Linked DNA regions of Ovis aries. The protein of the gene in region 3 purifies or fractionates together with the protein of the main gene of each other region. This does not show direct contact. Links are inferred from orthologs where the notes say so. Each region holds a gene or a part of one and is shown on either strand. Other genes may lie near its edges. The genes, in order: SHKBP1, VANGL2 and PTPN3.

Region 1 (3,746 bases), on a different chromosome or scaffold from region 3:
ACAGAGTAAACACTTAAAACATGCCAGATACTGATTTTCCCACACAGGTAGCATCGTCTCCTAGAGAAAAGATTTTTGGTGGTGCAGAGACATGGCATTAAGTGACACTGAATCACAGTGAGCTGTTCCCTTATCAGGTCCTTTGAGCCCATCACAAAGAATCAGTTTGGGGCTGCGATGATAATGATACCCCTTCAATATTTGTTAATCTTTCCTTTTAAGAAATGGAAGCCTGTTCCCTTGGCAGGCAACAGCATCTACCCAGAGTTTACTTACACTGTTATGTTTAAGGATTATTTCACATCCACTTATTTATGGCATAAAAAGCAGTGATATAAAGCTTCTATTTAAAATAATAATAAAAAAATACAGGAACAAACTAAGAGAACAGTAGGTCTTCATACTTGGCAAACTTCATGAAGGTGACAGGTACTGACTGAAGTTAGGGAAATAAAGTCATAAACTGAACTCCCCAACTCTGTACCTTCTACCAATCAGCAAAGCATAGTAGACTATAGTTCCCAGTAACCACTGGGGCATATTTTTCATGACCAGTGGACTGGCTGCTCCTTGGGGATTACAGTCAATAACTCTCCTTTAATATTTCTCCCCTCCATGCAAAGGACACCAGTTCTCCCTAAGACTCTCTACAAGGAAGTCAAAACTGGACTACAACTTCCATCAGGCTCCAAGGCAAGCTTGAGCCTCAAGGGGACTAGATTGGCCCATTGCCTCACTGGAAATGCAGTTTCCTACTTCCTCACCAAGCATTAGTCAAAGCATCTGATGTAGAACTACAACTACCATAGTGTCTCAGGGATCGCAGCTGAGGCAGGCAAGGGCTGCAGCCTTATGGGAAATGTAGTCTTTAACCCCCCCACCCTCCATTCCCACCCTGTATTCCTTAGTAGTTCCCACCTGGTGGAGGCAGGTAACCAGTAAAGAGGACGTTTCCACAAGAAGATCGATCCAACTCTTCAAGAAGCTGCAGACGACGAACTGAGGCAGAAGGACTCACACAGGCTGGGACTTGGAGAAGGCTGAGGCAGAACCTTTTCCCCTCCCCTATCTCCTTCTCCACAGAATACCACCACTCCCCTGAGACTCAGGACACCAAATCCAGTGCCCTCAGCTCTAACCCACCTTCTTTCAGAAGTGAGAAGAAAGAGAGGGTATCATTAGAGGGCTAGTTTTCTATAAGGATGCTAAGGGGGTGGGCCCACTTACCCAGAGGAGTCAGCCCATAGAACTGGGCTTCATGGAGGAGACTGGAACCGTGGACACCCCTGGGTAGTAGAATTGACTAGGTGTCAGGGTCTGGGGAGTGGGAGTGGGCAGAGAATTCTGAGGACCAAGATTCTGAAACTGCACAGAGAATCTCAAGAGGTAGCAAATGTTGATGGTATCAAGATTCTAAAGAAGAAATGATCTGGGTGGTGAAAACGTGTGTGTGTGTGTGTGTGTGTGTGTGTGTGTGTGTGTGTTGGGGAGGGATATTCTAAAGAACTTAAGTGAACATTCTGAGGGGAAGAAGAGACTTCTCAAGGGGTAAAGATGTGGGGGACTCCCCATTATCTTCTATGCCCACCTAGGGTCCAACTCTTTGGTGCGCAGGAAGTTGAGGATGGGAGCGAAGACGGTGGGGTCCCTGTCAATGAAGATCTGCGGGGAAGGGAGGCAGAGAATAGATGGGGTCAAGAGCGGGGCTGAGTGGGGCTCCTGTCCCTCCTCCTACCAGCCGCCCCGTTTCAGCTCTCGCTCTACTCACGGCTCCGGTCTCATCTTTCAGTGTCGAGATGCGTCCGCTCAGAAGACTGCAGGGAGGGGACGCAGAGGTGTCACGGGCCGGAGTGTGTGTGACGGGGAGATGAGGTCTCCCCATACCCAACCCTCCCGTCCCCAACTCTAAACTCGCTTCCCCAATCACCTGGAGAAGAAGGAGTCTGGGATCCAGGTGAGAGTCTGGCGAGAGGTACTGAATCTGTGCGGGGACGGTGAGCGGACGCGAGACGATGAAGAATGCGGCCCCCAGTCTCAGCACCGGGTAAGCTTCCCTCCCTCCCCCAGCATCCATCCAGGTTCCCGCGCCTCCAGCAGGGGGCGGAGCAATCCTTGATGGACAGAATTCCCCCCGCGGGAGAGGCGGGTATTCCCAGCCGGGTCCCCGGCCCCGAGAGTAATGACTCAAGAAACTCTTACACTCACCTCTTGCCTCCCACATTCAGATGAATCACCTCTCCGGGAGGCCCTCGACCCGGGACCCCGTCGACTGCAGGGGCCGCGGCCGCCATGGCCCCCCGGCTAGCCGGCCGGCCTGCACCCGCTTCCGGGTGTGCATCCCGCCCCCGCCCCCACCGCGTGCTCATTGGGCTTCAGACTCCCAGAGCAGCTGACGATTGGGCAAAACGCTCGCCCATCGCGATTCTCTTCTCCGCCTCCTTAAAGGGTCCCGCCTTTCCTGTCCTGGACGGGGCGGACCGAGCGGCTCCTTTGGGGAAGTTTAGTTACCACGGATAGCAGACCGTTCCTCATCCCTCTGGGATTCCCAATTTAGGAGTGGCATCTAGGTGCTTAATCGGGAACACGAGTTTAGACCTCGAAACTAGTCCACACCAAGAGGGACATCTAAATGTCCTCCGTAAAACAGTTTCTTCCTGTCGCTCCACCCAATCCTCCTGGGCGCAGCCCATGAAACGCGAAGAAACAAGCATAGACCGTCAAAGCCAAAAGATTTATTATAGGTACATAGAGTGTGCGCCTGCCACACCTCTCCTCACCCCTGGACCCCAGCGGCTTCTCCAGGTGGCCATGGGGGCTGCCCACAACCCAGTTCCCCCGCTCCCCAGGGAGGTGCTCCAGCCAGAAGCATGCAGGGGGGAGGGCTTCCCCTCGCCCCTCCCCTCACGACGTCGTATTTACAACTGGAGGGGGGAGGAGAGAGGAAGACAGTTTTGAGCTTTGACGCCCCTCCCATTAAAAGCCTTCGCGGATGCGGGGCGGGGGACGAGGAGGTCGACGTTTTGCAAAAATAAACTAAGGAATTACCGCATGGCTCTGAGACAGCGGAGTGCGGAGGCTAGGGCCCCTTTCACGCCTCCTTCCCAGACAGAGATCAAGGCAGCATTGGAAGTGAGGTAAAGGCGGGGAGGGGGCGTCCCCTCCCCACCCCCTAGCACCCTGGATGGTCCAGGGGACCTCACCAGCGCCCCCATGCCCGTCCCTAGGGCGGAGGGGGGGACGGGAATTATCGCCCCTACCACCCCAGCTTCGTGGGGCAGGGGGCTAGGCTCAGCTGGCCCCTTACCCGTCCCCCGCCCCCCCCAAGCTCAGTTATTGCATAAAAATAATAGAGCCCCAGCACCTGGGGTGGGGGTGGCGAGCGGGAAGGGGCCGAGATATGGCTATAGGGGCAGCAATCCCCCCACCACTTCTTGGGGTGCAGGAGAAGTCCCCTCCTTTCCAGTGCCAGTTTTGGCGCGTCCTCAGTGTTGGTGGGACTAGGGGCTCCCGCCCCTGCGGAAGAGAAAGTGTCTTTGTGCCCACGGTGCAGGGAGGAGGGTCGAGAAGGTGGGAAGTCACTTCCGGCGCCCGCTGGCCCTGCGCTCCCCTGCCTCCCGCTTGGGGTTGCCCTCGTCTGTGGACGACGTGGTGGGTTGTGTCTGGCCCCAGCGGGCGATTTCGGCGTGTTCACCAACCGAGGCGGCCACAGCCTCCAGCCAGCCGTTCATCTCCTCCTAGAGAGAGAA
Region 2 (3,646 bases), on a different chromosome or scaffold from region 3:
GCTGTGCTAAGGTGCTTCAGCCGTGTCCAGCTCTTTGCGACCCTATGGACTGTAGCCCATCAGGCTCCTCTGTCCATGGGGTTCTCCAGGCAAGATTACTAGAATGGGTTGCCATGCCCTCCTTCGGGGAATCTTCCCAACCTAGGGATCAAACCTGAGTCTCTTACATCTCCTGCATTGGCAGGTGGGTTCTTCACCGCTAGCATTACCTGGGAAGTCCAAGGCCAGGTAGGCAGTAGGTACCTGTCCTCGGAGCATGGAGGGCCACTCGAGGATCTGGTTAAGGGAATGAGCTGACCAAGGCAGCATGGGGCAGAGGAGAGGACACCGAGAGGGGATGGGGAGGTGAGAGACTAGCGCAGGGCATGCGAGACACAGTGCAGACTCAGGGCCACTCCGGGTCGCTGGTCTGCCTGGCTGACTCTTCTGGCCCATCTGAATGCCCACCACATGGGCATTTCCCAAGGAAAGGGGAGTCTGAACGGAAGGCAGAAAGTGGAGGCACTGCCTTCTCAGCTCAGGAAACCCGTGAGTAACCACAACCACTATACCTACACGTGTGCTCCAAGTTTCAAGAGCCTGGGCACACGCCCCAACAGAAGAGCTGATCAGGCTCACTTCAAGAACTCAGGAGGCCAGGTCTCTGGGAGAAGACGGGATTGGGAAAGAGGGAGAAAGATCATTTCCCTTAGGTACTTCCTGGGGCTTCCAAGCCCCAGGAATCCCCAGAGTCTCATGCCTCGTGAGATCTCCAGCTCCCTAAGATGCTCCTAAGGAGGAGGAATGATACATAGACCACCTCAGTCATCCCAAATCCTGCCTCTTCCCTCTTCTAGCACTGGGTGCTGCCTCCTGCCCTCCCTGCCAGGGGCACACAGAGGGCCAGAGAGGCCAGAGCAGGAGCAACCAGCCGAAAACCCCCTCCCATCTCCCCAAGCTCACTTCCTCCCCTTTCTCCATCAACTCCTCCCTCTGACCAGCAGGTGCTATTCTACAGTCAGACACCAGAGGGCACCAGAGTGCCCAGGGGAAACTTGGGGCTGCCACACCTCCAGCCCCCACCCACCACCGTCCTCCCACTCCACACTCCCAGCCCCCTAACTGGCTGGCATGAGCCCAGAGAAGAGGCAATTCCCATTACACAGCCCAGGTCACATGGGCCATAAAAGATGAAGGAGGCTGCTGCTTCCAAAGGGATCTCTGAATTCTACCAAGATTCTACAGAATTCTACTAAGATGAAGTCCTACCTTGGAACCCTTAACAGGGGTATGACCCAAAATGCCCTCCTTTCTCTGTCGAAAGAGGCCAGGTTTCCAGTCCCTTCCCCTTTTGGATGGACCTCCAGCTTCTCCAGAGATCCGAGTGGAAACACCTGGTCCAGACCTCAGCCCCTGACGCTCACCCGCTCATCCCCTCTCGTGGACTCATTGTCCAGCAGGGGCTCCCCTGGAGCCTGGATCGTCACCGACTTGTCCCCCCGGCTCCCGTCTCGGCTCTTAGAGCGGTGTCGGTCCCGGCGGTCCCTGCAGCAGAAGGCCAGGGGAACGGGCACGGAAGGTCAAGGGGAGGACCCGTGCTTCTCAGCGGCCAGCTTCAGCCCGCCAGCCCTGTGATGCTCCCACCCCGCTCCCCCACCTGCGTCAGCTCTCATGCACACCCACCTGTGCTTGCGGGAGCTGCGGGAGTGGCCAGACTTGTAGGAATAGCCCGAGTACTGGGACTCGGTGTCCATGGCGTCCGAACGCCGCGCCTTGTAGCGCTCCAGGGCCACAGGCTGGGGCCTTCTGGGGGGCCCCCCTGCCACCTCCTTCAGCACCGGCTTCTTCAGGCCAAGGGGCACCTTCAGGAAATCAACCGTCACCCTGAGGGACTCTATTTTGCTGGACAGGTGGGCTTGTCTCAGAGAAAATCAAGCGGCGCTCCTGAGGAAAGGAAGCAGCTGGTTGGGGTGGGGCTGGAGCTCTCTGTGGGGTCAGAGCAGAGAGGGAGGCCGTGCCCAGGAAGCAGCCGCAGGAAGCTCAGGGGAGCCTCGCTCCCACCTGAGAATGTGCCCCCCAGGCTCCTGCTCTGTCCAGTGGGCCCAGTTCCTCCCGCCCTGCCTCCTAGAAAGAGCAGCCCCAGACTGTGCCCTGGGGTGGGGGAAGATGACAGCAAAGGCCTCCCAGAATGACCCAACTCTGGACTCCCTGCAGGCAAGAGCTGGGCAGCACTTTCCTATTCTCGGCCAGGAACACTGGAGAACGTGGGTTCTGGCCAGGCCAGCTGGCTGGCCCAGTGTAGACCGCAGCAGGAGGCAGCTAGCTTCAGTCCAGAGGCTACCCCAGGCCTCTCATCTCCTCCCATTCTTAATGCCTGAGTGCCCACAGGGGGCTGCCTATGGCTGCTTCTCTTGGCATTGTCTCCCCGGCATGTATGTCAAACATACCCACAGTTACTGTAAGGTTAAGCTGGCTGCTCCCCTTAAGGCTGTGTGTGTGTGTGTCTGTGTGTGTCTGTGAGTGGCCTGACTTGTGTGCGTGCACAAATGTGCTCACATGGCCAGGGTGAAGAATGTAAACTACAGATCACGTGCTGAGGGGCAGGCGGGGAAGGTAAGCAGAAACCATTCTCTAAAAACCTGACATCCTGAACCAGGCAATGTCAAGAGCTTCTCTGATCACTGTGGACCTAGGGGCAGTGTCTTTCTTCCACACTTTCACCTTCTGGTTCAGCAGAGGAGAGGACCTCTCCGTCTCCCATCCTCCCTAACTCTCACCCAACCCTGTTTACCACCTCACAACCCAGCCCCGAGCCCTTCACAAAAGCCCCCTTCACTCCCAGCACCCAAAGGTACATCCCTGGGCACTGAGCAGTTATTCCCCACCTTTGCTCACTGAGTCGTCACCTCTTGCTTAGGCCCCATCAGGAAACCATATCCCCTGCCAAGCCCTGAGCACAGTGGGGAAGAAACCCCAGATTCACAGCCCAGCAGGGTTGGTGCATGTAAACAGGTGCATAGAAACAACTAACTACATCAGAGATGAAAGGAGAAGGACAAGGACAGTATGACAGACAAGTCTGGGGAGCAGGGCTCCTTTAAACTGAGTGGTTCTGGAAAATCTGAGAAAACAACAACCAAGCCTGAAGGAGCACAGGGTCTAAGCAGGTAGAGTGGAGGGGAAAGCCTGCAGAGCAGACAGCCACCCACAGGAAGGCCAAAGGCAGCAGAGAGTTGGGTGGCCCAGTGGAGCCAACTGGGTATGAGGGAGGGAGAGGCAATGGAAGGTGAGGCTGAAGAGGTGGCCAGGGGTCGGGGCATTGCAAACCCCAGGGGTGAGGGAAAGAGTGCACGCATACTAAGTTGCTCAGTCATGTCAGACTCTTTTCGACCCCATGGACCACAGTCCACCAGGCTCCTCTGTCCATGGAAGTCTCCAGGCAAGAATACTGGAGTGGGTTGCCATGCCCTTCTCCAGGGCATCTTCCCGATCCAGGGATCGAACTCGCATCTCCTGTGACTCCTGCACTGCAGGCGGATCCTTCACTGCTGAGCCACCGGGGAAGCCCCAGGTTGCAGGAAGAGCTAGGTTAATTCAGTGGGAAGCCTGGGAAGGGTTTTAGGTCTCCAGACAGAGACTGGAAAGAAGGGAAGGCAGAAGCAGGGAG
Region 3 (3,646 bases):
AACACCCACTAAGAACTGGGCAGCATCTTTGATGCTTTCCAGTATGAGCCTCATTTTATCTTCACAGGGATCCCGGGAGGTAGCGACTATGTCATCCTCATTTTACATTAGAGGAAACTGAAACACAGACTGGGTAAGAAATCTGCTCAAGGTCCTGGAAGCCAGGAGGAGGCAGAGTTAGAACAGCCTTGAGGCAGCCAGGCTCCGGCCCCATTCTGCTAAAGCCTCTCCAACGAAACCAAATGCACATGAATGAAATATAACCCGATCCTTTGAGAAAGGGTTGAAAATGCAAATGAAGGCAGAGGCAGGAAGCTAAGAGGAGTGCGTGGAGGGGGCTGAGATGGACCTGCGAGGAACAGGGGAGAGGAATGTCATGTCTTGTATTGAAAATGGGGGCAGGGGTGCTGCCTACCTGCAGAGGACTGGTCATGAGGGATGGGGCCCTGTGGGGCCAAATCTCCACATTTTTCAAGTGAGAAGTCAGCCAGCAGTTGTTTCCCAACAGGGGAAAGCTCTTGATTTACCGATGCTGGCTATGAGCACAACATCTCGAAACCAAGGAGCGGGCCCGAGAAGGCCCTCTTCACTAAGGCTCCTCTCCCTCAGGGGCTGTTACCTTTCCTCCTGATCACCAGGGCCAGCTCCCGCGTGTGCGATTCCCGGCTGGCTTTGATGAACATCACCACTTGGTCATGGGTGTGTTCTGAGATGTCCCGGCCGTTGATTAGCACGATTTGATCCCCTTCGTTCAGCTTAGGAATGCAGGTGTCTGCCTGCATGCAGGGGAAGAGTGAGTTTCTTTCGTTACCATAACATAATCCTCAAGGGGAGAACCTGATGCTTTCTGAGCCTGGACACTGGAGACCGCGACCAAGTTCTGCTTTTCTCCCCCTGGCATTACCGCCTTTATTTTTATTACAGCCACTGCTATGTTGACATGGTGGCTAGTGGTGGGATTTTAACGAAGTGCTGCTCAGAACCTACATTACGAATGAAAACATTTCAGAATAAAGTGAAAAAAAGTACTGAGGCCATTTCTCTATGGCAGTCAAGCTTCACTTATTACTGTAATGTCAGAATGACTCTAATACCTCTATCTTCTGTTTTTCTAGGTGTTTTGGTAGAAAATGATTTGTCAGCTAAAAGCAAGTATATAGCTATCTTGTGATGGAGAAAGCCTTTGCAAGCATAACCCCCAAGGCACGAACCGTTATGGACAAGAAGCCATGTAACTGATCAATAGGCTTCTTAATTCATAGAGGCCATAAACAGTAAGAAAAAGTAAAGCACAAGCTTAAAGACTTCTTAAGAGTAAAACCTCCAAATGGGCCCCTTTCTTAGGAGGTACAGGGACTCTTTGGTGCTCAATGCTTAAAAAAAAATCATCTCCTAGATGCTTAGAGGCCCAGGCAGAGGGCTGAGGATGGGGTGGGGTGGGGGTGGGATGGGGGAAGAGGCACAAGACCCACGAGCCCACTTAGAGCTTGTAGAACAGCAAACGCTACGCCCCAGTTGCCTTCTTGTGAGCAGGACTTCTACACTTTAATGTGCCTCCCCATCACCTGGGGATCTGGTTAAAAATGCAGATTCTGGTCCAGATGGTCTGGGGTGGGGTACGAGAATCTGCATTTCTAGTAAGCTTCCCAAGGGATGCTGGTGCTGCAGCCTTGGGGGCCACACTAGGCAGCAAGGCCCTGGAAAATTCTTTCTTCCTATCTCTATGCATGCATTGACACACACTCTATGCTGCCGGTAAAAAAGAAACAGGACACAGAAATAGAAATCTGTTACATTTATGGGAAAACGGACTTGGGAAATTACAGAATACGTCTACTTACAGGTGACTCTGGGTTTATTCTTGACACCACAAGAGGCATCTTTTGATCCACTCCTCCCTGTAAACATATACATTAAAAACCACTTGAGTTGTTCCGAGCACCAAAGACATGCAGATATCTCTGACACAAAGGGAGGGCTCAACTTTCACTTAAATATATTCTACTCCCAAGGGTTGGTACCTTTTAGGATGATAAGGTTCCAGAGGCTATGGGTCTAGTGGGTCAACCAGAAGACCACTCAGAAGCCTCCCACTGCCATCCCCACCATCCATGGACTAAAGATGCACTTGGAAGAAGCAGGCTCCTTTCAAAAAATGCAAACATCCTCAGGAAAAAGACTCTAAAAGCCCAGCCCATAAGCACTGCTGGGAGAGGAGTTTACGGTGGAGGGGAGGAGCTGTGGAAAGGTTTCAGACTGTGAGGGCTTTTGACCTCTGAGAACTGGCTGTCAGCGGGGCTGCTGGGCTATCAGAAAGGAGTGTATGATGGCAGTTGCAGGGTGGGCAGCGAAGATCACCTGCTCTCACTCTGCTCTAAGGCTGATAAACCTTTTCTGTGAAGGGCCAGATAATACTTTTTGTGGCTTTATGGGACAGAGGGCACTCTAGCACCTCTGCCATCGAAATGTCAAAGGAGATATAACCCATTTGTAAATGAATGGGGTGTCTGTGTTCCAATAAAGCTTTATTTGTAAGAACAGATGGGATTGGGCCCATAGGTCATAGTGTGCAGAGCCGGCCTAGAGGGAAACAGAGGAGGTTATGGCCCTGCACCTGAATCCCTGCTCTCTCTTAGCAGTGCTGAGGGGTTCCCATCTCTCCGAGCCTGTGTTCAGTCAGTCGTGTCCAACTCTTTGCAACCCCATGGACTGATGCTCACCAGGCTCCTCTATGCATGGGATTCTCCAGGCAGGAGTACTGGAGTGGGTTGCCATTTCCTCCTCCAGGGGATTCCTGACCCAGGAATCGAACCTGCATCTCTTGGGTCTCCTGCATTGGCAGGAGGATTCTTTACCACTAGCACCACCTGGGAAGCCCCTTAGTGTACATCTATAAAATGTTTCAAAATACCAATTTCACCACTTAATAAAAGGACTCAATATGGGGATATGAACGATCCTCTTTATATCCTCAATTAGGGGATATAAACAAGTATGTAGAGTAGGCACTTGGTATGAGGCAACTCCTATGGCCCCACTGAAAAGCTCCCAATTCTGAAGGCCAAGCCAATTTTCCTACACAGCCTTAGGTCTATGGCACATTTGTAATGGAAGTTTAAAAGTCATCTGAAGAGTGCTTCAGAGCATCACACGTCCTTATAAATTACACACAACGTACCTTTAGATTAAATCCAAATTTCCCATCTTCATCCGGCGTGATGCGGATCAAGACTAAGTAGCCGTCACCATCGTTCTGGGAAATGTCAGAAAATCGTCAATCACGTTACTTCTTTCTCCAGTGATTGGTGATAACCTATTTCCTTTGAGTCCTAACTACTTAACTGCCTAAGAGGCGGCCCCACACGGGAAGCCCGGCCGGCTTGGCCCTGCTTTGGCCACAGCACCTGAGCCGCCCCGCCCCCCACCTTGTCACAGTAGTACTGGCTGGAGTCCTCGGTGGAGCCCCCTTCGGTCACCCTGTGGAAGTCCTCTAGGAACTGCTGATCGACGCCATCCCGGAAGCAGGAGCCTGGAGCATTTGAAGATGGAGACACAGAACTGGATGACTTCTGGGTCAGGCAGCTTTGTGCTGGGCTGTTCTCGGATATACTCCTTCATCGTGGGGGAGGAGGAGATATTTTAATAA

What was found.
Region 1: the proteins of PTPN3 (region 3) and SHKBP1 purify together in Homo sapiens (affinity purification with mass spectrometry; 4 studies listed by BioGRID and IntAct, with this or other methods). This does not show direct contact. The link is inferred for Ovis aries from reciprocal best matches to the Homo sapiens genes PTPN3 and SHKBP1.
Region 2: the proteins of PTPN3 (region 3) and VANGL2 purify together in Homo sapiens (affinity purification with mass spectrometry; 3 studies listed by BioGRID and IntAct, with this or other methods). This does not show direct contact. The link is inferred for Ovis aries from reciprocal best matches to the Homo sapiens genes PTPN3 and VANGL2.

What each region holds. Positions count from the first base shown.
Region 1 is NC_056067.1:49,290,727-49,294,472, reverse strand, and holds the start of SHKBP1 (SH3KBP1-binding protein 1), read right to left. Parts: upstream 2,304-3,746; 5' UTR 2,292-2,303; coding exon 2,206-2,291; intron 1,982-2,205; coding exon 1,928-1,981; intron 1,815-1,927; coding exon 1,769-1,814; intron 1,663-1,768; coding exon 1,589-1,662; intron 1,287-1,588; coding exon 1,228-1,286; intron 1,000-1,227; coding exon 919-999; intron 1-918. Other genes in the region: SPTBN4 (spectrin beta chain, non-erythrocytic 4), read right to left, coding at 3,576-3,734.
Region 2 is NC_056054.1:111,431,587-111,435,232, reverse strand, and holds part of VANGL2 (vang-like protein 2), read right to left. Parts: intron 1,924-3,646; 5' UTR 1,734-1,923; coding exon 1,663-1,733; intron 1,525-1,662; coding exon 1,404-1,524; intron 1-1,403. UniProt on the Homo sapiens protein: Involved in the control of early morphogenesis and patterning of both axial midline structures and the development of neural plate. Plays a role in the regulation of planar cell polarity, particularly in the orientation of stereociliary bundles in the cochlea.
Region 3 is NC_056055.1:13,920,934-13,924,579, reverse strand, and holds part of PTPN3 (tyrosine-protein phosphatase non-receptor type 3), read right to left. Parts: intron 3,613-3,646; coding exon 3,426-3,612; intron 3,254-3,425; coding exon 3,179-3,253; intron 1,899-3,178; coding exon 1,842-1,898; intron 777-1,841; coding exon 620-776; intron 1-619.